4 linked regions of the Arabidopsis thaliana genome follow. The protein of the gene in region 1 purifies or fractionates together with the protein of each later gene. This does not show direct contact. Each region holds a gene or a part of one and is shown on either strand. Other genes may lie near its edges.

The links.
Region 2: the proteins of AT3G49830 (region 1) and AT2G27710 fractionate together in Arabidopsis thaliana (co-fractionation; one large-scale study listed by BioGRID). This does not show direct contact.
Region 3: the proteins of AT3G49830 (region 1) and PRS2 fractionate together in Arabidopsis thaliana (co-fractionation; one large-scale study listed by BioGRID). This does not show direct contact.
Region 4: the proteins of AT3G49830 (region 1) and AT2G35390 fractionate together in Arabidopsis thaliana (co-fractionation; one large-scale study listed by BioGRID). This does not show direct contact.

Annotation. Positions count from the first base shown.
Region 1 is NC_003074.8:18,480,139-18,485,718, reverse strand, and holds AT3G49830 (P-loop containing nucleoside triphosphate hydrolases superfamily protein), read right to left. Parts: upstream 3,471-5,580; 5' UTR 3,337-3,470; coding exon 2,585-3,336; intron 2,449-2,584; coding exon 1,779-2,448; 3' UTR 1,739-1,778; downstream 1-1,738. Other genes in the region: AT3G49840 (transmembrane protein (DUF2215)), read right to left, coding at 1-1, 73-135, 215-360, 431-597, 679-892, 1,057-1,168; AT3G49820 (uncharacterized protein), read right to left, coding at 3,997-4,482.
Region 2 is NC_003071.7:11,813,592-11,818,979, forward strand, and holds AT2G27710 (60S acidic ribosomal protein family), read left to right. Parts: upstream 1-3,042; 5' UTR 3,043-3,249; exon of another isoform or gene 3,250-3,334; 5' UTR 3,335-3,337; coding exon 3,338-3,425; intron 3,426-3,714; coding exon 3,715-3,947; intron 3,948-4,052; coding exon 4,053-4,079; 3' UTR 4,080-4,381; downstream 4,382-5,388. Other genes in the region: AT2G27700 (eukaryotic translation initiation factor 2 family protein / eIF-2 family protein), read right to left, coding at 358-780, 880-939, 1,038-1,103, 1,197-1,310, 1,397-1,490, 1,567-1,667, 1,750-1,857, 1,935-2,411; AT2G27720 (60S acidic ribosomal protein family), read left to right, coding at 5,105-5,192, 5,327-5,371. UniProt on the Arabidopsis thaliana protein: Plays an important role in the elongation step of protein synthesis.
Region 3 is NC_003070.9:11,679,640-11,686,328, reverse strand, and holds PRS2 (phosphoribosyl pyrophosphate (PRPP) synthase 2), read right to left. Parts: upstream 4,596-6,689; 5' UTR 4,297-4,595; coding exon 4,153-4,296; exon of another isoform or gene 3,741-4,152; coding exon 3,576-3,740; intron 3,490-3,575; coding exon 3,241-3,489; intron 3,162-3,240; coding exon 3,018-3,161; intron 2,931-3,017; coding exon 2,763-2,930; intron 2,686-2,762; coding exon 2,616-2,685; intron 2,453-2,615; coding exon 2,371-2,452; intron 2,281-2,370; coding exon 2,100-2,280; 3' UTR 1,809-2,099; downstream 1-1,808. Other genes in the region: AT1G32375 (F-box/RNI-like/FBD-like domains-containing protein), read right to left, coding at 5,650-5,928, 6,026-6,160, 6,245-6,689.
Region 4 is NC_003071.7:14,894,161-14,901,094, forward strand, and holds AT2G35390 (Phosphoribosyltransferase family protein), read right to left. Parts: upstream 3,723-6,934; 5' UTR 3,422-3,722; coding exon 3,278-3,421; exon of another isoform or gene 2,948-3,277; coding exon 2,525-2,947; intron 2,414-2,524; coding exon 2,270-2,413; intron 2,176-2,269; coding exon 2,008-2,175; intron 1,923-2,007; coding exon 1,853-1,922; intron 1,734-1,852; coding exon 1,652-1,733; coding exon of another isoform or gene 1,648-1,651; exon of another isoform or gene 1,549-1,647; coding exon 1,368-1,548; 3' UTR 1,094-1,367; downstream 1-1,093. Other genes in the region: AT2G35410 (RNA-binding (RRM/RBD/RNP motifs) family protein), read left to right, coding at 4,181-4,555, 4,638-4,736, 4,890-5,192, 5,281-5,430; AT2G35420 (RING/U-box superfamily protein), read right to left, coding at 5,555-6,319; AT2G35430 (Zinc finger C-x8-C-x5-C-x3-H type family protein), read right to left, coding at 6,854-6,934.

The sequences.
Region 1 (5,580 bases):
TCTGAGAATATAAAAGAAGGCTTTGGTTAGTACATGTTCGACAAAAGAACTCAAAGAGAAGACAACTCTCACCATAGACGAGTAGAAAAATAACTGAAAACGACTCTTCCCTCTAGTTGGTAGACGCTTTATCCCCTGCACAACCGTTTATCACGTTAACCAGAGAAAAAACCATGAAACATATAACAAAAGATAGCGTTATGAAAACTTTTACCTGATTAATGATAAGAGTTACAAGAATGACAATCCCAATAGACATTGCACCGATATAGTAAAACGCAACTGATTTGCTAAGTCTAGAAGCCAAACTCAGTAACACTATCCCCATGATTAAAAACACAATCCGGTATATGAAAAACTCTGCAAATACAAACTCTACTTTGTTTAGTTTTAGAATTTTGCAAAACACAAAACAACACAAGCACTCTACCTTGTTTAGCAACCAACTCCACGGTGCTGACATTAGATGAGCCACCAAATGTTCTTATATCAAGAATCTTATAGTCAAAAGGTGACATTATCCCAACCCAAGGTAACCCTTTGGACACTCTCTTCCACTGATTATCAGGACACATTCCAATTGCACGCGACGAATTCCTATAATCAGAAAGAAGTAAACTTTAAGATTTCACAGATACTAGATTGATTCATAGAGATTACACAGATACTAGATTTTACCTGTGGAAGCAAACGTCGATACTGTTGGAAGCATTATTACTCAAAAGAGTCAACTTTAGTGAATGTGCATATCTATCAATGTGCTCAAGTCTTCTTTGTAATCCATGGATATGTAATCTCTCACATATCGATGTTATACCTCGTTTCAGACCAGGTGAATATATCACCTCTGTTCTTGGAGTCACTTGTAGTGAACCAGTTTCACCCACAGCTGCTAATAAACAACAAAATTGGATCTTTTTTTATATAATTCATCGCAATTGTCTTAATTATGTAAAAAAAGGTTTGAAATTTGGTGATTCTAAACTACAAAATTCGAGTCCCATAAAGAATTGAAGAAAGCCCTAAAAGTATAATTCAATTCCGACACAAACTTACCAAAGACAAGTTCATTGGAGGAGACAAGGGAGAAGAAAGTGACGAGGTTGAGGAAGAGAATCACGACAATGAAATTTGAGCTTCGGACAATGACTGATGATGAGTCACTCATCGATTTTTCTGGGTTTTGTTTTTTGGATGAAGAAATCGTACGAAAGTAAAAGCAGTCACATAAATAAAAGAGACAAAATTAAGCCATGTCATCATCATATCTGCATACACCAAAAAAAAACATATTTAAGCTTTGTGACACATTCATTCATCATCAAACAGTAGCAGCAATAACCTTGGCAACAAAACATGTTGAAGGAACTGTAAGCACATGACCAAACCACTCAACTTCTCCCCAAATTTCACAACTTTCTTGTTTTTCAAGAGCAATCTCCGCGCACCAAATCTTATTCTTATAGCCGTTGTTACTACAAGGAGATTGTTCGACCCACAAAACCGCCATCTTTCCACCATAATCAGCCAATTGAATACAAACATTAGGTGAGAACTTAGGTAGCCTTACCAATTAACCCTTCAAACGTCTCCACAATCTTACCTTTTTGTCATACCATCTTATCGCTCCGTCAAAAACACAGTACAAAACGTTGTCTATCTCTCAATGAGAACTCGAAAACTTGAAAAATTCCATCTTTTGTTCAACCATGTCCCATGAGTCCATGACAAAATGGGGTGAAAAAATAAGTTCTTGAAAAAGCAATAAAACAAAATTCTCAAACTTCCATGGCCTCGTGTTCTGTTTCTTCTCCTGCAGTAGCCTCCTGTGTGTTTTTTATAGGCACGCTAAACAAGTACTCGCTCTCATGCTCAACCAAGTACTGCATCGATCTCTTGGTGTCTAAAAACAATCTATAAACTCTCTCAATGTCCTGAATCTCTACGACTTTCCCTTTACGTTTCAGGCAAGCTAGGGCAGCTGCATTGATTAGATGAATCGCGTACCTAAGCGAGGTATTACATCCGATCAAAGTCAGAAGCTGTTTCGCTTCCTCGTTCATCTCCACATCCTCTTCTTGGCAACGGATCTCTAAAATATTTCTGATCTCGTCTTGTGTGTAAGGCTGTGTTGTGATAATAAGAAGACGGTCAAGAAAATCGATTGGGATCCCATGTGCTGATATCTGGTTTGTTCCTCGGATTGTTGTCATTCCTCTGTTTGTAGCCACGACCAGGATTGGTGACATATCGTTTTCGAGAGCTCTATTCAGGAAAGAGAAGCATTCGATATCAAGCATATGGACTTCATCAATGAAGAGAACACCAGGTACTATTTCAGCTTTCCCTTCTTCTCTCCACTCTGCCACTTTAGTATCGCTTTGCTCTCGGGTTTCTGAACGAATCTCGCCTGTATCACCTGTGAAGAGGGCTAGATACCCTTGAGTCCTGCAAACAACAGAAAGAAAACAAGAATCCAAATAAGAACTTGAAAAAGCATCAATACGTGAAAAAGAAGCAATCTTTTTAACCTAAACCTAAAACTAAGCAATTGACAAATACAGAACAAGATCAAGAAACAAACCTGCTATTAATAACATCAATCTCATGAAGTGTGACAGAATGCAAAACCTCCTTCCTCTTCTCAAGCTCACCTTCAGGGCACTGCACAAACTTAGTCTTTGAACCCATAACATCAAAATCTCTAGACCTCGTAAAAGATCTTCCAAGCTTAGTAATCTTCCCACAAAACCTATCCAAAACAATAACATCACCACTCTGTACTTTCTCCTTATCCAATGGCTCAATCAATTTCCATCCCAAATCAAAATTAGATTCCATATCAGTCGTCTTCATTGTTATCTTCCCAGTCTTCTTCACAGAACCACCAGAAGAAGCAGGTCTATCAATCGAAATCGTCACAACTTCTCCTTCTATCACGTCAGTCTCTTCTTTGATCCTAACACCAATAGCTTTACGAAAAGCTTGAGTTAAAGCTTCAGTCTTTGACATCTCTAAAGAAAAGATCTCACTTCCTGCAATCATAGTGAATGGTGTTTCTTGTCCAAGTGATTTTGCTATACCCATTGCTATTGCGATTTTACCCGTTCCGGGTTGACCCGCTATAAGTATAGCCCGACCCGAGATTTTGCCGTCTCTGATCAACTCGAGGGTTACTCCGGCGGCTTTACGTGCTTTGATTTGACCAACCATTCCTTCGGATACGGCTCGTGGCTCGAGTACTGAGTCGAGACCTAAACCTCGTATGTGTGAGTGTGCTCCGATTCTTTCGATCCTAGTTAAGTCTCGAGTTTCTGATAACCTTAGTTCTGCCATCGTCGGTTGTTGAGTTCACCCGAGGAATGAGACTTGGCTTTTACTAGGTTTAGACTTTGGAGAATCAATCACCAGAGTCTTTCTTCTTCGTAAAGGTTTAGCTTTATTTATATTAAAAAATTACAAGATTTTGTTTGATATATATTCTTGTTAATTTACTTATGAGGAAGTTTACATTTATATATATATATATATATATATATATATAAATAAAAAGATAGTTTTTTTGTTTTGTTTTGGAATCTGTAAAGATATTGCAGACAAAAATAAAATTGAGAAACTTTTTTTCTTACAGCAAAAATAGTAATTGATAAACTTTCTAAATTATTATTTTTTGTGCTTGTGGTTTTGAATTTGTATTTTATGTTTGTAATTTTGTGAAGTTATTGTGGTTAAAAGAAATTAATTTTTGTTGTAATTTGTTTTTAGAAATTACTCATGATATTAAAATCATGTAGAACTGCATTGGTTGTTAACAAAACAATGTGAATTATTTGCATCACCACTTTTAGAATCGTATGTAATTTTTTTTAACATCAATTATAAGTAATACAAGAAATAATATTAAATGATACAAAATGATTTTTCTTTTCAAGTGTTTGATCCATATTTCTCAATAAGCACAATGCAACAACCTAATAATAAACCTAAAAATCAAAATCAAAATCGTCCTAGAGGCTTATGTTTTTGGTCAACAGATGGTTTTTCTATTTCTTTTGTAAGAATCTCGCAATTACCATAATCAAGAAAAGAGTCTTCTTCTTGAAACTCATCATCATCATCACAAGACATCTCCTCATCTATTCTTCCCATCACAACAACGCATCTATTGTTCTTCCGATGATCCAAGGACAATGATTGTCTCATTGCAATCGTAGGTTGTCCGCCACGTGTCAGACAGCCTTGATCATGTGCCGCCGACGTCAAGGTAAAGCTTCGAGGAAGGGCGGTGCTAGGCGGATCGCAGATTTGGAAGTTTCCGGAGAGTTGACCAAAACCAGATGATCCACCACCGGAATAAATTCCGGCGCCGGAGCATGACGTAATGCTTCGTATGTAGGCGTCACGTGCCATGATCAACAGACGAAAAGGAGCCTTAACCAACCATACGAAGCAGTTCTCTTTCTCTATGACTTTCGCTTTCATTATTGGATTCTCAAGAGTATCGAAATCAAAGTTGTATATATGTAAATATATAACCTTTTAAATATATTATAAGAGACGAAGAAGAAGAAATGCTCAAAGATTTCAAGACACTAAGACAGGATCAAAGAGAAGACAAATCCATGATGACTGTTGTAAATGATAATAACAAAATTATGAATGTGATCTATTCTTAAATGTACCTAGTTGGATGATTAAATACATTTCTTTCAGTTAGATGTTTAAATTTATTAAGGTGTTGTTGCCTTGTTGGCAAATCAGTCTTAACTTATTTCATATAATATGGACACCAATTTAAATCTGGATATTTGAGATGGGTTAGTTAGTAGTTAAAAGGGTATAATGGCTTGGTTCAACTACTTTCTTCAAAGCATGACGCTTGGTATGATAGTTCGGCCCATATATTAAATTTGATCCAATGTATAGACCCAATAGATTAGCACTCTTGTTTGCATCACTACATTACTCTAACCCACTATCGAATACTACAAAACTTTAACTGATTATTGAATCCTATCGTTTGGGATTAATTTGGTTCCAAAGAAATTCATGTGAGGAGATCACAAATAAATTGTTATCGAGATTTGGCCATTACTCTAACTTATCTAGAGCGACAAATATAATTTATAACTGGAGGTACACTATTTAGATCCTAGATTGTAGGTTTCGAAAATCTTGGGCGTTACAAGCAAAAACTCTTGGTATCATTGAATCCATACGTCATATAGTGTATAATTTATTTACAAATATATAGGTGCCTCATGCATGTGTCTGATATGTACATACTACTATAGACATAGATTTAGGGGGTAGAGCGTCACGACTCACGTGACAGTCCAAAGCTAAAATGGCTAGAAAATCAAACATATAGAATACGCGTAGGAATGCGGTATATACCTTTTTTATTCCTTCGTGCTTCTACTTTTGCATTTATTAAAAGATTGTTTCACACTTCTTTAACGTTAAAATAAATGAGCTAAAGCCTAAAATACTAAAGATAAACATATGCGTAGGCAATGCATTATAGTGTATTCATGTTTACCGATGTCATGGGCTCGATTGGTAACACCGAGAATGACG
Region 2 (5,388 bases), on another chromosome or scaffold:
TTTGTTCCATCTGATGTCTAAGAATGTCCAAAAGTAGATTTGACATGTCGACTGTTCTAAGCAAAACGGCGGATCGAATTAATATTGGATCAGTACAAGTGTACCACTTGTTTTCATAATTGTATCCATACAATACAATAAGAACTTTGAAAAGTATATACATAATTTCTTTATAAAAAAAATATATTCATAAAACGAAGACGCAAAATGAATATACTTTTTTGTCTCTAAATTTTGTTTTGTTTAAATTGCTCGTACATTCAGTACAAACAAAATCTGGTTAAATATGATACATATTTTAGTAAGAACTTGGTTTGACTCCAAAAAATGGTTGGAGCTCCTAAAAAAACCAATTATTCAACATATATATGCCTGATACTGATCGAATAAATGATACATGATATCAGAGCAGAAGATTTTAACTTCCATTTCGTCAGCAAGTTCACGAGCCTCTGTAGTCACTTCCACGTCTAAAGCCAAAATTGTAGCAAATTCCTTTTTCCTCTCGAGCATCACTCCCGCCTTCATTACATCCTTCTTTTGCACAGGCCCTATGCCAATACCACCAACAGGTAACTTTACAGCTGGGGACTTCAAGAATTCAAGCAATGCTTCCAAAGAACCTAATGTAGACGCTTGTATATAAACTCCTTCACCACTTTTGTCAATCCTGCTCAAAACTGAGTTTACATCTTCCATAACCAACTCCTTAATTGCTTCGATGTCATCATCAGGTCCAACGACATGCAGGGCAGTACCAACAATTACATGTTCAAGGTCCTTTTAAACACAACCAAAAAATGGAAAATAATATTCAGGATGTGATCATTAATTAAAAGAGACTAGAAATTAAGATTAATGTAGTATCAGTCCAATCACCTTGGCAATAATATTGATACACTCTGCAGCCTTTATTACTTCGTGATGTACATGATTACCCTGAAATACCAGACCAAGAATTCTCATTGTGTATAGAAAAAGTACGTAATGGTATTTGCATGAACTATAATTTCTTAAGGAATAACAGTAATAAGTACATTCACATGCAACTCCTTTATTGGATGAGGAGTCAGTAATGCTCTAATCGTTGTGACAATAGGTCCCTAAAATATAAGAAGATATAAGATCATTATTTAAGTTCTAAGTATTATCCAATGCATTACTTATTTGAGTTTGGATAATAAGTTTTTACTTGCCTGTAGACCACAAACGACGATTTGACCACCTTCATGGAGTTCACCATTTACCAACACAACATCAATCGTTGTACCATAGCCTTCCATAACTTTGACCTCTAGGACAGTACACTGCTTAACAGTTTCAAGAAAGGATCAGAATCCAACATGCTGAAGTATTGTACAAACAAGTGTTACCTAAAAGAGAAAAGGAGCAAGACCTGCACTTTGTCAACATATGTAATTAGTTTCTCAACCATTGTTTTCTGAGTCAATTGAACCAACAACAACAATAGATCTGGGATCCCTTCCCCACTGAAATATCAAGAACCAAAATTACTCAACCATTTAGGATAAATTACAAACAATAAACAAAGAGAGACTCATATACCTAATAGCACAAGTAGGAACAATACTAAAAGTTTCTCCCATTTCTTTATTCTTGTAATAAAGCTCACTGTTGAGTCCTTGCTCCTTAAACTGGTTTATAATCTGTAATACCAATGAAACAACATATACACAAAGTGATAGCTCAAACCCATAGATGATGATAAACTCTAGATGAATAACTTACCTCATTCAGCCTCATGTTAAATTCATTTATAACATCTTTAGTTTGTTGCTTCATCGCCTCCAAGATAGGAGCATTTTCACATATTCTCCATCCATATAGCCTATCCACCTATAAGTACATTGAAAATTTTATTTTCCATAAAAACATTTACACCATAGAACAAAACAAATCACAAACAGTTTTACCTTATTCAATGCAATAATGAACTCCGTATTCTTCATTCTCAGAAGATTTAGACATTCTATAGTTTGTGGCTCTAACCCATGCATTATGTCAACAACCAAAATTGCAAAGTCACACAAACCTAAGCCTCTTGAGCGAAGATTTGTGTAGAACTCGTAACCAGGTGTATCGATAAACAGTGGACGTGGCACCTTAAGTTTTGTATCGGATTTCAGTTCCATGGTCTTCTCTAGGATGTTTCTCGCTGAGAGATATGTTGCACCCATCTTCTGAGTGGTACCTCCAGCCTCGCCTTCTTGTACATTTCCTGTGATGTAATCTAACAGCTTTGTTTTACCAGTATCGATATGACCCATCATACAGCAAATGGGAGAACGGACTTTGTCTTCCTCGGAGAGCTTATTACGTCTAGAGTGTTCATCGCCAACAATTTGCTGCTTATCATCTCCACCTCGAGCACTCGGCTTCTTCAGATCCATTGCTAAACAATCGAATAAGCTTTACCTTATATGGGAGATGACTTGATCGACAAGGTTGAGACAGAAAACGAGAATTAGCTATGATTTTTTCTTTGTGAAACTTCCTATACGGTGGAGCAAACACGTTGTGTAGATATATACCGATTCTAAGTATGTAACGATGCTGCTTAAATAATTTCTAGACCATGCAAGATATAATTGTTTTTTCTCGGATTAAGATTCATTTACATAAATGATTTTAAATGGAATGAAATCTACTATATATTAAAAGGTAAATTTTTGTAAATCTTTAATTATTATTCATATCCAATGCCATTAATGTTTTTATATAATACATTTTAAAGATTTTTCTAACTTACTTAAAAGGATAAAAAATAAAAAAGATTACACATATAGACACAATCTAGCTACTGCAAAAAAGATTTTTTTAAAAAGCATAAATCTACTTTATTTACTAATTATAAATTTAATTTGTTTCACTTTTATTAGTGATAACAAGATTAATTGTTTTGTTTACACAAACAATATTGTTTTATGATTTCACTTATATGAACATTATTATCAAGAGTTATAAAGTTTGCAAAAGAAATAGGTTTTTATTGACTGAAGAATTGAGAAATTTTCTCATCACCTTTAAAATTAATATTGGGCCTAGCGATGAACCGGGCCAACGCCCATTAAACATATCCGATAATAGTTTAAACCCGGAGAGACTCAAAGTAGAGAAAACCCTAATTGTATATAAACTAAAAATACTTCCTTAATTCTTCACTTCTTCATCGCCGTCTGCACAAAACCCTAATCTCACAATCTCCTACGAGATCTATCAGTCTCCACGGTAAACGACACTAATCCATTTCAATTTCTCCATCGTCTTCTCCGATCAAATTCTCCATTTACTTATCTGTTCACTATTTTTCCAGAAGATGAAGGTTGTTGCCGCATACTTGCTCGCTGTTTTGAGCGGAAAAGCTTCACCAACCAGTGCCGATATCAAGACTATCCTTGGATCAGGTTCGTTTTGATGAATCGCAATCGATTTCATTACAATATGATTAGATTCGTTGTTTGAGTCGCTGGAGAATTCGATTTGAAATCTTTATTAGATAGTTGAGAACTTGCTTAAGCTGAAATGATATGTATATTAGGGATTTTTATGGTTCCTATCGACTTAAACGGTGTTTATGATAGTCGAGATGCGTAAGTATTGTTAAGAGTAATGATTTAGTGAACAATGGGATACAATAATGAGTTTGGGATGATTGATGGAATGTGGCATTGTTGTTTTTGTTTGGTGTTGCAGTTGGTGCTGAGACAGAGGATTCTCAGATTGAGCTTTTGTTGAAGGAAGTGAAAGGAAAAGATTTGGCTGAGTTGATTGCTGCTGGAAGGGAGAAGTTAGCTTCAGTGCCGTCTGGTGGCGGAGGTGGTGTTGCGGTTGCTTCTGCTACATCTGGAGGTGGAGGAGGTGGTGGTGCTTCTGCTGCTGAGTCCAAGAAAGAAGAGAAGAAGGAAGAAAAGGAAGAATCCGATGATGTAAGTTTACTTTCCTTCTAACAAAAGTCTTGATCTTAATAGTAGCTTGAAATTTAACCTAAAAATGATGGCTCACTTGTGTGTGTTTTTGTTTTTAATTTGCAGGACATGGGTTTCAGTCTATTCGAGTAAGCTGGTAGTAGCATGAAAAGTCCGGTTTTGTTGTCCTCTTTTAATATTGTAACCTTTTGAAATCTATATGTTGTTGTTGTTTAGTTTGTATTCGATCATCTTTTTTAGACATTGCTGAAATTCTCAAGAGTTTTTGACCCGAATGTCATTTGCACTTTGTTGTTAGCATTTCTGCTTCTATCTCAATCGCCTTTGTCACTCTGGAGTTTTTAGTAGCCAACAAAAGCATTGGTCCTAGTCATGGTCTTAAATCTTGACTCGAATGGTGATGAGATACCTCTAGCCTTGACTTTGCTAATGATACGTTGTCGTTCATTTGGAACCTAGATTCAGATTCGGCTTACGTATGACTTCAAGAATAGTATTATTGTAAGAAAAGGATAAAAAAAAAATTCTAGTCTTGAATTGTTCCCCCTTCAATGCCGTCCAATATGTAAATACATCATAATTCGTATGAGAAAATAACTAGACTATGCTAAAACTTTGACACCACAAATTTATTAGTAACTTGCAAAACATATCACTTGTCAACTACATATACCGAGAAATGCCATACGCAGGCGATGTTTCGGAAACAACAGGTGTAGAGTTGAAGCTACTTTTGATGTCATCGACCAAGAAGGTGCTATAGAAGACGAGGTTAGAGGTGAAATCCCATCCATCAAACAAAATAAAACTAGAGAATTGTATAATCTGGTCGTTCTCTTCTCAACATCAATATTACCCGTCAATCGAAATATTGAGCCCATATAAATATGGGCTTGAAAGAACTGGGCCTAAATAAAATTTTAAATTCGGAGATACATTGATAAGATTAAAAACCCTAAGCGTATATAAATCATATAGTTTTCATTTTTTCGTACTTCTTCTCCATCGCCGTCTAAAAACCCTAATCTCACTCCGCCTCCTGCGAGATCCATCAACACTTCCGCAGTAAGCGCCTCCATTTCCATTTCTCTCTCCTTCTTCTCCTACGTAATCGTACTATGTTTGATTTTTGATCTGTTTTTGTTTTTCTTCAGAAAATGAAGGTTGTTGCTGCGTTTTTGCTTGCCGTCTTGAGCGGGAAAGCTTCCCCAACCACTGGCGATATCAAGGATATTCTTGGATCAGGTTCGTGACTTTGATTTGAGCATTGGAATGTATACATGATTATTCTAGTAGTGAGAATTTGTTTAACTTGAAATGTTATTGGAACTAGGAATTGTATATGTTTGCTGGAAATGAACAGTGTGATGCAATAAGAGGCATTATGGTGTTGGTATTGGACTGTGTTGTTATAGGTGATTGCTGTAATTGTGGTGGAGGA
Region 3 (6,689 bases), on another chromosome or scaffold:
GATGAAAAATGTTACAGAAAGATTGAAACAAATTTATCAAAGTTTAGTTTGTAACACATTTGAAGCGTAACGATTTGCTATTGGAATTTATGACTAACTTGCTATAGAGAGATTGAAACAAATTTGTCAGAGTTCAGTTTGTAACACATTTGAAGCTTACCACAACCATATAGGCGCAAACATTGTTTAAAACAAAAAACAATCAATTATTTTTTGCCATAGATATACATAAATAACTGCATATATTTTCTTTTATTTATTGTAAAATTTCAAAATTTGTATTAATCAACTCTACCACATCAAAATTTTCTCCTAACGTGACAACCATTTAATTCGACTCGTTTCTATTCAGTGATCGCCTGTTGTGCATCTCGTCTCCATTCGCTAGACCGACGTTGATAAACCCAGGAGATTTCGACTCTTCCATATTCTACATAAAGTCCATAGTGGTATTTGCCTAGTTAGGGAATCCAATCGTTTACCGTTACAACTCGCAAATATCACTTTGAGCTTGTCTTCAAATGAGTCAAGGACTAACGTGTTTTTTTTGGAAAAAAATGCGACGAAAATTGTCCCCATTATGGTGGTCTTTACCTTCATTTTATTGTTTTTTTTCCTTCCTAATATGGGATTCATGGCCATCAATTTGTTGAATTAATGTTCAGACATATACACTTTTGTACATTGAACCCATCCCCGGTTTACAAAGGTTCTTATCATAATTGGGCTTTAATTTAACCATCCAAACATTTAGTCTACAAATATGCTTTAATCATAGCTGCACATTAACTATCCGACCATTGCTCCACCTACGGGACTATAATCTCAACTGATAAGCATATTGTCTAAGCGTTTGGTTAGTTATGATCGTAAATAACCTGATTTTTATTCTGAATTTTAATTATTACATAAGAGACTTCTTTTGAAACAAAATCTTTGGAAGAAAAAAAACGAATGTAGCGACTTGTTCGAGGCCATTATCAATACGAAAAACAAAATTTGATAGGCACGGAGAATCGCAAAACTTGTTATCGCCAACCTTCAAGGCAACTCACGTCATTTAAACTAGACGCCCTTGCTCTGCTAATTGGCTTAATGTTTATGACAAGAAGAAACAAATCGAACTCTTCACGAATTCATTATCAATACCAAAAAAAATAGAACTTAGAATATGAGATTGGGGACATCAGTTCTCCAAGGTGAAAAACACATCAATGTAATATTATCAGTCGCAAATTACCCATTTGTTTTATGATAATCATCATCTGCCCCACTTTCAACAAAACTAATGATCTAATAAAAAAAAATCATTGGGAGGGTTTTTATTAAGAGTAGATCAGAACCTGTCGAGATATCACAATAACATCACTCAAATGTTGTCAGTGGATTGACAGACTGTGAATTCTTTATCGTCACTTCGACCACACACCAAAAAATAGAACAAAAGAAAAGCTTAGAACTCTAAGGTTATGTTTGCCGTCAACGATGAATAACTTCATCTCTGGCACACGGTAGTTACATCACAGCAACTACTCAAGATTTTCGAACATAAGAATTCAAAACCACAAAAGAATATGATTAAACTATGAAACAGAGATTATAGGGAGACATATCGGACCACAGAGAGACGAAGGAAACACTTATCTGTTTCAAGCGGCGATGAAAAGACTATTTATATGCAACGACGGGCTTGATAAAACCCTAATTTGTTCCTTTTTTTTTGCAATAAAAATTGGTTAACCGAAGAAAGAACACTAAACCATAAAAATTAGTCACTTATTTCATAAAATGCCAAAACTATTTATTGCCAGAAATATGCAAGTTGGGGAAATTGTTAATTTAGAAATTCTCAATAAATCCTGAGAAATAATGTTTACACCATAATGTAATTATTTTCAATAAACCAAAATATTAAAATTTTATTGTCATTGATATCTCATAACTCTATTATGCTAAAAAGAAGAAAAGATAGAACTGTGACATACTTTAGGTGAGTAAGAGAAGCAAGACATGGTTAGACTAGAAACTGTCGAGAAGAAGTAGAACAAAAAAGAGGAACTTAGACCGATCCTAAACCGATTAACAAAAACCAACAAGTATCAAAGGAAAATACTACTAACGGAGCTATCATCATGGACACGCCAAATGGTCTCACCCAGAAGATTAGCCACCGATAATATCGTTAACTGCGGGAAGTAATTCTTCTCCGCTACTGGTAAAGTATTCGTCACTATCACTTCTTGCAGCAAACCGCTTGATAACCGCTCTATCGCAGGAGGACTGTGACATTGATTCATTCAAGAAAACGGTCTCTTAGTTTCATAAACGAAAATGGAGAAGAACTGGTAAAACTCAAGCTAATGGGTTTACCTGAAAACAGCGTGTGTACAGCAAGCGTAAACCTCACGTGCACCCTCCTCGTGTAAAAGAGCTGCTCCTTTCACAATGGTTCCTGTAAATAAGAAGATAAAAAACTGGTTCTTAGTAATGTATGGCCTGCAAATCACAGAATAATCTCTATTTAGTAATATCTCGATTATGGCCTAGAGTTTGGAAGCTTTTGTTTATAACAAACATATCAACGGAAAGAGGAGTTTCTGGCAATTTTTACTAACCAGCTGTATCAATAATATCATCCACCATTACTGCCACCTTCCCTTTAACATCACCGATTAGGTTCATGACCTGTGGGAAAGAGTATTATCAACACATGAGAACTTGCGTGTAGAAAGGATAAAATGAAGGTAAATTTAAATTTTTACCTCAGCGACATTGTGGCCGTGACGCCTTTTATCGACAATGGCAAGTGGTGCATCAGATAATTTCTTAGCAAATGCACGTGCCCTGGCTACTCCACCAACATCAGGAGAAACCACTACCAAATCCTCAGAGGAAATTGACTTGCTAGCAAGATAATCAAGTATCACAGGCTGAAATGTAATCACAATTGTGTAAGATTTTAAAGGTTGCATAAAAAGTAGAGGCTTGTCTATCAAAAAGGTTGAAACTTAAGATACCTGGCAATAGACATGATCCACTGGTATGTCAAAATAACCCATGGATTGTCCTGAATGAAGATCACAAGCCAGAACCCTATCTGCACCGGCTTCTGTTATAAGGTTTGCTACCAATTTGGCAGCAATAGATTCACGCCCTTGTGTCTGAAAACATCAATAGATACATCAGATGAAATTACTTGACATACTGTATCTACCATTGAAGAAGACAAAAAGAACCTACCTTTCTATCAGCTCTTGCGTATCCAAAATACGGAATCACAGCTGTGACTTTCTTAGCTGATGCTCTTCGGCAAGCATCCACCATGATCAATAGCTCCATGAGATTCTCATTAGTTGGAGTGCAAGTAGGCTGCACCAAAAAGACATCGCAACCTCTAACACTTTCTTTGAGCTGAACATAGATCTCTCCATCAGCAAATCTCTTTATGCTAACCTTCCCAAGCTCCAGACCCATATACCAAGCAATTTCCTTCACAAAATTCCAAGAGTTTAGCATATACTTCACCAGAAGAAAACTTGATTAAAAAAGACAACCAAAGGTCTCGAGAAAACTACCTGAGATAAAGCTGGATTAGCAGTACCAGAGAACAACTTGAGCTTAGTATTGTTTCTACTAACCGATTTCTCCAACCGTGAAGAATCAAAGAACTTAGGAATTGTCGTCTCATTAATAATTGGAACACGAGCGTTCCCGTTTAGTGCCTTAGGCAAATTGCATTTCTATCAAACACAATGACAAGGAATTGTGAAACCAAATTCAAAATGTTAGACACAAAATTTAACCAACACACGATCTCTCTTACATCTCTCTACAAACATAAGAATAACCAAACATTCATGAACAGTATTCAACACACAAGATTCCAAAGCTGAAAGTTCCAAATTCCAAATTCTACAGTCACATACATGGACAAAGTCAAGCCAAGAGCGACGACAACACACAAATTCTCACAAAATTAGCCTGTAAACGAACTGCTAATAGCATCTACTAAATCCAGAAAAATCTCACAGATCATCAAAGCATAGATTCATCCAAAAACAATTTGAATTTTCTTATAACAAATACATGAAACGCAATGTGAATATCGAATTCATTCATTAACATGAAGGAAAAAAAATGCTCAATGCTCACCGCGTAACCAGAAACGCAGATTCGAGAGCGAGACTCAGTGGTCCTGAAAGAAATCGAGGAACGGGAGAAGAGAGACGAAGACGACGAGGAGAGATACGAAGGAATCTTAACGGAGGGAGGAGAAGTCAGAGCCAACGACGCCATATGTAAATATATACGTCGGAAACACCTGGAATCTCTTGAGTCACGGCAAATATCAGACTCCTCTCAACGTTAAGAATTCCGATAGAGAAGAGAACTAATCGAAGGATATTAGGATTTAGGGTTCCAAATTTGGAGTGAGAAACGAAGGAGAAGGAGGAGAAGAAGAAGGTAATGGTGAATATGTTTGTTGTTGTTTCTTTCTTCTCCGGGAAGAAGAGTGACTCAAGCGGTGCGGCGATGGGTCTTCTCTCTTTCTCGAAATTTGGAATTTTCAATTGTAATTTTGTTACACTAAAAACATACAAAAATAAATATTGTTTAGAAACGGTGTCGTTTGGTTGATGGCTAAAATCGTCTCTGCTCGTAGCTTTCACAGCTTACGTGTCATGTAGGACTTAACATTGAAGGAGTCGAAAAGAGAAATTGTTTTCAAACACAAATTCTAAAGAATCTCATACTGATTCCTAATGCCCACTTGTTTCTAAGCATTTTTCATGCCACTTTAGGATTCCAATAACTAATTATGAACATAAATTTTCTAAAAAAAGAATATATTTTCAGCAAAAAAACTTTTTTTAAAAAAAAAACCATTTGTATTTTGGGTTCTTTCGGCTATACAAATAGATTGGGTCACATCATTAATATTGGCCATTGCAACAATTGAAAAGTGCAAATTTTGGAAAGAACAAGTCAAAAACTCAAAAGGTGAAGATGTGATTCTTCTCCTACATAAAAAAGGTTACAACTTACAAAAGACCTCTTCAAGGTACTTACAAAACATCATAGAGATTGCCTTAATACTTGTTTTGAGTTTAAAGAGATCCAAATTGAAAACATATGCAGCCATAAGGATTTGTTGCCATTTGTGTGAAACTGAAAAGGCAAACGGGTTATAATAATAAGAAGCCACAATGTCATATTTAACACATTAAAGATATAAGGAGATGTGATTAGCCATTGCCACGACCTCTTGCGTATCCGAGTCCATTAGACCATTTGCAATATCATTTTGCTCTAAATGATTACACGTGGTCAATTCATATTTCCATCTACCTAAATCCAAGCTCATAACGGATTACACTAAACAAAAAGACCAAAATGTCTCTAAGTTCATTGACCATTTTAGAACGTCATTCTTCGCTTGTCGAAGAATATGCAGTGAGAAGCAGAGCTAAATAAGATAAAAACTCAAAAGGGTTATAAGACATAAGAATACACAACGTCAAAAGAATAAAAACTTGAGCAACATAAGTTTCTAGGGAAAACTAGTTTCTTTAAGAAGAGAAAACACAAGTCTATAAGATTGGATCAAACACAGACCAACTTGACTAATGAAGAAGACTGAACTAAACTTCAGTCGAATGCAATCTGACATGTAGGTGAACGCCTGAACAACAATGACAACTCCTTGAGCATCTCAAATTTCTTGTTGATGTCAGTGGATTTAGAGGAGATAGTCACCTTCTTTAAACAGCTTCCACTTCTTAAGATGAATGCCGCTACTTCTTTCTCTTCTTCTGTTCCTTCATATTTTACCCATTCGAGAGTTTCAAGACTTGTCAACAGACATTCAGGAACTGCACTCGGTTCATTCCAGCACGGCCGCGGTTGATGAGATCGATAGACATGGTTCTAAGATAAAAGTAAGATATCATCACACTGTTATTCTACTGAAAATATATGCTGATATATCATAGAGACTGAATAATTCAGGTTTAGATCTGCAGACCTTAACAAGTTTGAGTTCTCGTAATTTAGGGGAATCTCTGAGTACACACATAAGTAGATTTAGCCACTCTGTCTCACATGTGCATATCGTTAAACGTACAAGACAGTGGAAGACACTACCAACAGGATAAGCATCCTGCATAAGAGACACTACATAAGTAATTTGATCACAAAGAAACCAATAATATATGTAGATAACAGAACTATAGAAACATATTACCTTAGAGGATGGTATACATACATAGAGACGCTTGACGGAAGAAATAGAACCCATGAGCTGCTGCGTATGTACATAAGAATTGCAAACATTTGCCTTCACAACCTTAGTCATATTATTCTCAATGACACAAAAACCACCCCTACCATCTTCAATGTCTAAGCACTCCAAAGAAGGAGTATCTATCACAAACCCGCAATCAGCATTTATACTGGCTAATTCCGTTTCATGCAAGACTAAACACTTTAGAGAAGACACTCTAACAGTGAAAGTAGTCACATTGTCATAGGGACAGCGTTTCACAACCAAGTCTTCAAGAACAGGACAATTCGATAAAAGCATCTTGATCAGCTCATCACCTGGAAACTTCATGGACACAAGACTCAAAGTCTTGAGAGATGGAAATGAAAACGAGGACGTAGCATCCACAAGAACCGCGTTATTAAGC
Region 4 (6,934 bases), on another chromosome or scaffold:
ATCTAAGCTGACAATTGATAACTCCAATTATTGAAGGACTCTGTTTTGTTCCGAAGTAAAATATCCAAATATTTCAAGGCATCAGTAGAAAACCTTTGAGAATTGTTTTTGCATTTAAAGTGAATAGAACTGTGAACAAGTCAAATTAATTAGTCAAGTGATTTCCATTATGCACAACTAGTAAAAAAACAAAAAAAAACATTCGGTATATTTTCTGGGCATCAGATAATCATAAAAGTTAGCATCACATAGAATCAGACGCAAATTACCCATGAAATATAATTTCATCATATGCCCAGTAGAAAACAAAGAGAATCAAAAACCAAATCCTTAAAATCGACAAGACATTCGAATTGTACAAAAACATAAAAGAGACTATGAATCTGAGTATCAGTTCTCCAAGGTGAATAAAACATCAATGTAATTTCAGTAGTAAATAACATCAATATATGAGATTCATCCTATACTCAGATTCAAAAGAAAACGATTTTTTTAAGGATACAAAAACGAAATATTAAAATTGAAAACAAGATTTTAAGGATTTTTATTGTAGAGTCGATCAGAACCTGTCGAGAACACAATTACATCACATATATCAGTGGATTGACAGACCTGTGAATTTCTATCGTCACCTCGACTCATAAAAGTCCTTAAAAGAGTTTTTACAAAAATCCAAAAAAAACATGAATTGAGGAAGAGATTAAGATCTAGAAAAGCTCAGAACTTCTTAGAGGGTTGTGTATTACCGTCAGCGATGGATTAACCATCTCTGGCACACGATTTTTTCCTCACAGCTCTTCTATTTAAATAAATTTCTATGCACAAATCGAAAAACAGAGCCAAACAAAATCACAGATGACAAAACCCTAAGAACTAATTGAGGCGGAACACAAAACAATAGACTTGTCTTGTGATTCCAATGTGAGTCTTCTATATATACTAGTTGACACTAGTCAAATAGAAGCCCTAATTATGACTCAACCTATTCTTTTGGGCTTTTTTTATTTTTTTGGTTGGCCGTGGACTGTACAATCCAATACATAGATTTGTCTGATTATGAAACCCATTATCAAATTGTCAACAAGATTTTTGAGCCAATTTGCACCATGTTAAATGTAGATACGATACAAGATGTTCTATATATTAAGTTAAAAACTTGTGTACACCATAATAAAAAATCGGTTCAACACCATTTGTGCATCCATAATTTTGAGATGTGGAGCAAATAAGAAAAACCTAAGCTGTATCAAAAGACAATGCAAGCAAATTTTGTTGAAGCTTTCCGGTTAGAACATGAACCGGGATAAACTTTCTAAACCGACTAACAAACCAAGAATCGTTCAAATTGTTGGTTGCAATGAGAAAGGTCAAAGGAAAATGCTACTGACGGAACTATCATCATGCACACGCCAAATGGTCTCACCCAGGAGATTAGCCACTGATAATATTGTTAACTGCGGGAAGTAATTCTTCTCTGCTACAGGTAATGTGTTTGTCACTATCACTTCTTGCAGCAAACCCCCTGATAATCGCTCTATCGCTGGCGGGCTTCCATATTGATTTGTTTGAAACAAAGAAAACAAATAATGCTTCAGGAAGTAGTGATTTTGAGACTGTTCAGGAACAAACAAAATATAGGTTAGTGGTTTACCTGAAAACAGCGTGTGTGCAGCACGCATATACCTCCCGAGCACCTTCCTGGTGTAACAAAGCTGCTCCTTTTACAATGGTTCCTGAAACAAGAATGGTTCATAGATGATTCAGCCTGGAAAAGGAGAAGTTGATGGGGAATAGAGAGAGATAGGAAACTTGGTTTGTCGGTAAAATGACAACTCCATGCCGTTTTACTAACCAGCAGTATCAATCATATCATCCACCATTATTGCCACCTTCCCTCTTACATCACCAATTAGGTTCATGACCTGAAAGGAAAGTATAACAAATGTGAACTTAAGGGGAAGCAAGCGGTGTTGGTGAGCAAACTCTGACTCTGAAAGAAAGGGATACCTCAGCAACATTGTGTCCAGAACGCCTTTTATCGACAATGGCAAGTGGTGCATCTGATAATTTCTTTGCAAAAGCGCGGGCCCTGGCTACTCCACCAACATCAGGAGAAACCACTACCAAATCCTCTGAGGGAATTGACTTGCTAGCAAGATAATCAAGTATCACCGGCTGAAACAATTAAGCAGATAAAGGTATTATACACAAAGGAGCATACACACAATGCATAAAGAGGGGTATCAAGAACGTGGCTTTAGAGGTGAACCTGGCAGTACACATGGTCGACTGGAATGTCAAAATAACCCATCGACTGTCCTGAATGAAGATCACAAGCAAGAACTCGATCTGCACCAGCTTCAGTGATAAGATTTGCAACCAATTTGGCAGCAATGGATTCACGCCCTTGTGTCTGCAAGCAGCAAAACATACAATTTTATCCAGAAAAGATTACCAATAGCTAAGTTATCAACAAACCCTCCATATCATGTGAAAGTAGCTAAACCACACAAAGAGACTTTACCTTCCTGTCAGCTCTTGCATATCCAAAATACGGAATCACAGCTGTAACTTTCTTAGCTGATGCTCTTCGGCAAGCATCTACCATAATCAAAAGCTCCATGAGATTCTCATTAGTGGGAGTGCAAGTAGGCTGCACCAAATAGACGTCACATCCCCTAACGCTCTCTTGTAGCTGAACATAGATCTCTCCATCAGCAAACCTCTTAATATTAACCTTGCCAAGATCCAAGCCCATATACCAAGCAATTTCCTGAGCAAGTGCTGGATTTGCAGTACCAGAGAACAACTTCAACCTTGTATTGGTTCTATTGACTGATTTCTCCATACGAGCAGATTCCAAGAACTTTGGAAGTGTCCTCTCATTAATAATTGGGATACTTGGATTCCCGTTTCCCACATTCAATGACTCCGGCATATCACATTTCTAGCAACAACAACAACAAGACTCAATCAGAGATTCATATAATCATATAGGTCTCAATTTCTGTTCCTGGATAGTTTCAAACAAATGTATTCTGAAGAAAGAGACAACCTTTATGTAGCTATATTCGCATAAACAAACAATATTCAAACGAAAGAGACGAGCTTTTCAGCTCATGCGCCAATAAAAATCTCAGAACTACAAACTTGACAAGATGGCTATTAGGGTCCACTCAATCTAGGAACCTCAAATCCGGAAACGTAATAAGAAAGGAAGGATCAACATTCAAAAATGCAGAATAAGCAATTCTATAGATTCATGAACACCGCTTACAACACAAGCGAAGACAGAGTTTCGGGAGCGAAACTGAGAGGTTCTGACGGATAGAGAAGAGTTAGAGAAGAAAGTTGAAGACGAAGAGGCTAGATACGTCGGCGTTTTTGCGGCGGGAGGAAAGGATAGACCCAGAGACGCCATTGTCAGCAATACCTCACGTAAACCCACCTCTGACTCACTCAAGCAGTCTCTTCCACAACGAATTCGGAAAAATTATGGTTTAGGATTTTGAAGGTGACAGAGTGATACGGAAGAAGGAATGGCTTAATGGTTTTCTTCTCTCCTTCTTCTTCGTCTCCGAGTTTGTGTTGGACTCTTCTTTCTCGAATTTGGATTTTTTTTTTTTTCGTTTTGTGAAAAATAAATAGGAAATGGTTTGGTTGGTGTGTACAAGACTACAAGTTGTTACTAAACGACATCGTTTGATGGATTGGAGACGTCTGGCTGGACTTTTCTTAGGATTAATTAACTTTTTGGGATTGATTGAAATCTTGGTCTCTTCATTTTGTATTTCACCAAATGTCTCAAAACTCAAAAAAAATTTACTAACTTATTTATTTAGAATATTGAAATTTAAACTTTTGTATTTACATTGTTATAGAATATACACCAATCAAATTCAGTTTTAGTCAAATTCGAGTTTTGACTTCAAAGAGAAAAATCATGAGATTCATCACTTTTTTGTTCTTCCATTTGACTGCAATGTGGAGGGATTGGAATTTATTGGTATACCAAAAAAAATACATGATATACGGTTAAGTTCCTCGTGCCATTTACCTTCAAAAACCGAAGTTGGTAGACCCGGTTCACAATTCATTTTTTTCCGAATAACCAAACCGGCCCAAAAAGTTTTATCCTTTTGTCTCGGTCTAATCCATTTCTCTAGTGCCAAAGCTAACAATGGCGGTTTTGGAAGCTTCTCTCTCCATTTTCTCCTTCTCTTCTTCTTCTTCCTCTTCAAAACCTTATCTCTTTTCTAAACGCTCTTCTTCCTTAAAACTTACTGCCCTTAGTCTTCGAATTCCCAGCAATCTCTCTCCCGTCTTCTCTCTACGTTCCGGCAGCGATAACTCACGGCGGCTCGTCTCCGTACTCTGTTCCGTCGCGGAGAAAGAAACATCGGCGGATGAAGAAACGTCGCAGGAGGAGAAGACTGAAGAAACCCAGAATTCAAATCTGAAAAGGAAGCTTTTTGTATTCAATCTTCCTTGGTCTATGAGTGTAAATGACATTTCCGAGCTCTTTGGACAATGTGGGACTGTGAACAATGTCGAGGTCTTTCTTCTTTCTCAATTTCGTTTCAATCTTTATGTTATTACTAGCAATTGCCTTACCTCAATTTATAAACTTTTCCTAGATTATAAGGCAAAAAGATGGAAAGAACCGAGGATTTGCTTTTGTAACTATGGCTTCTGGAGAAGAAGCTCAAGCAGCTATTGATAAGTTCGATACTTTTGTAAGCTCAAATCCCTTAGATTCTTTTCTGATTGAGTGTTGTTTGTTTAATTTCAAAGCCTTTTAGGTAGATAGTTCAAACTACTAAATCATACATTGTGTTGAGTTGTTAGCTAAGGTTTGATGTTTAAGCTTCTATCTTCTTTGTTTTCAGCAAGTGTCAGGGAGGATCATTAGCGTAAGCTTTGCAAGAAGGTTCAAGAAGCCTACTCCGAAATCACCGAACGATCTTCCTTCTCCTGCCCCTGGAGACACTCGTCACAAACTCTACGTATCTAATCTCGCTTGGAAAGCAAGATCAACACATCTCCGAGAGCTTTTCACTGCTGCAGATTTCAACCCGGTCTCAGCTCGGGTTGTTTTCGCTGACCCCGAAGGTAGATCTTCTGGCTATGGCTTTGTCTCATTTGCTACTAGAGAAGAAGCTGAGAATGCAATCACAAAACTCAATGGGAAGGTATGAAGTTCCAAGCATATTAATATAAAGTTTGCTCCTTTAGCCTTGAGCATGTAAAGTGTTTCATTACAATTTGGTTTTTCTATAGGAGATAATGGGTAGACCTATCACTCTAAAGTTTAGTCTGAGAAGCGCCAGTGAATCTGAAGATGGTGACAGTGTAGAAGCTAACAACGCTTCTGAAGATGGAGACACTGTAGAAGACAAAAACACTTCCGAAGAAAACATTGTGGAGTGACTCTTATTATTTTCTCTGTTATCCGATAGGAGCATGAGAATCTGACTAGAGATCTTATTACAGTTTTGAAATAACTACTGCTACAAAGAACACAATAATGAAGATGTAACAGAAATTCAGTAAACTATACTTCAATCCTGCTAATGTGTGATGAATCACCAAGCCATTGCCATCCTGCTCCTTCATACCGAGTAAGTTCGTCGAACGAGACACAGCTTCCTGTTTGGTAATGCCTTCTTTTGGACTTCACATTAGCATCCGTAGTCTTAACCATGAAATGTCCAGTAGAATGTGACCTCGAGAATCGCCAAGCCGAGGCTTCTATTAGCCTTTTGCTTGAACCAGCGGTTGGAGGATTTTCCTCATCATGGTTTATGTCCTGAATAGTAATTGTGACTGTGTTGTGGAATGATTCAAGCCTTCCAGATCCAATCATGCCAGGATCTAACTCACACCGGCAAACAGGACAAGTCTTGTGTAACTCAAACCAAAGATCAATGCAATTTGAATGAAAGGGATGACGACAAACCGTTATGAGCCTAACTGTATCTTCATCTGAAAACTCTGACAAGCAAATAGCGCATTCCGTCCCATGATTTTTCTTAGTTGCAGATGAATAGTGGAATACAGGAAAGGACCGGATGATAAACGGGTCGAGGCCAGTATTTTCAGGCGGAGTGGCCACATGGATTAGGTCACCGTAAGGTGTTCGTTGAAGGTTCCAAGTAGTAAATAATCGATTCAGAAGAAACTGCCATAAGAAAAGAGAGAAGAATCCGGCGAAAATTACAAAGAGAAGAACACCGGTCAAAACTACGGTGACAGGCATGGAAACACTAGGGAAAACAGCAGTAGCTGGTATTGAATCTATTGATGTTGTTGACGACATTTGAAGGTTGATGATTAGAGAAACCCCCAGATTCTACCAGTTTCGTAGATTGCTTGGGATATAAGAAAGGTTGTTCTTACAAATCCTTGTGAGAAAAGGAGTATTATTGTTCAAGTTAATAGAGAGAAATGAGGAGAATAAAGTGGCTATGTCTGAGAGACAGAAGTGGCTTTGCTTACCATTTTGAGCGAGTCTTTTGTGACAGTTAAAATCGTTGTCTTAATAATAAATCATTTTACTGTTAAAAATAACTCAAAACGAAAAATTAATATTGACCATGGAAATAAAGAAAAAGGTTTAGGTAGCAATGATGATCCGGTTTACAAGTACGCAACATTATTTAGTTCGGTTTGATCTTCTGCAAGATTAGATTTAGGATTGACAAAGAGAATAAACAAAAAGATGAGAGTTTTTGTCTTTGTTGAGTGAGTCACAATCTACAACCACAGAAGGGAGGAAGCTAATATGTCCACACAGTTACAAGTCTAAAAGAAGCTATACCTTGATCAACAAATCAGTGAAAATGCAGTGACTTTACTCAATATCGTCGATCCAATCACCATAAACACGACTGATTTTATCTGGTCCTTTCCATTTCCGTTGAGTTCTGACTCC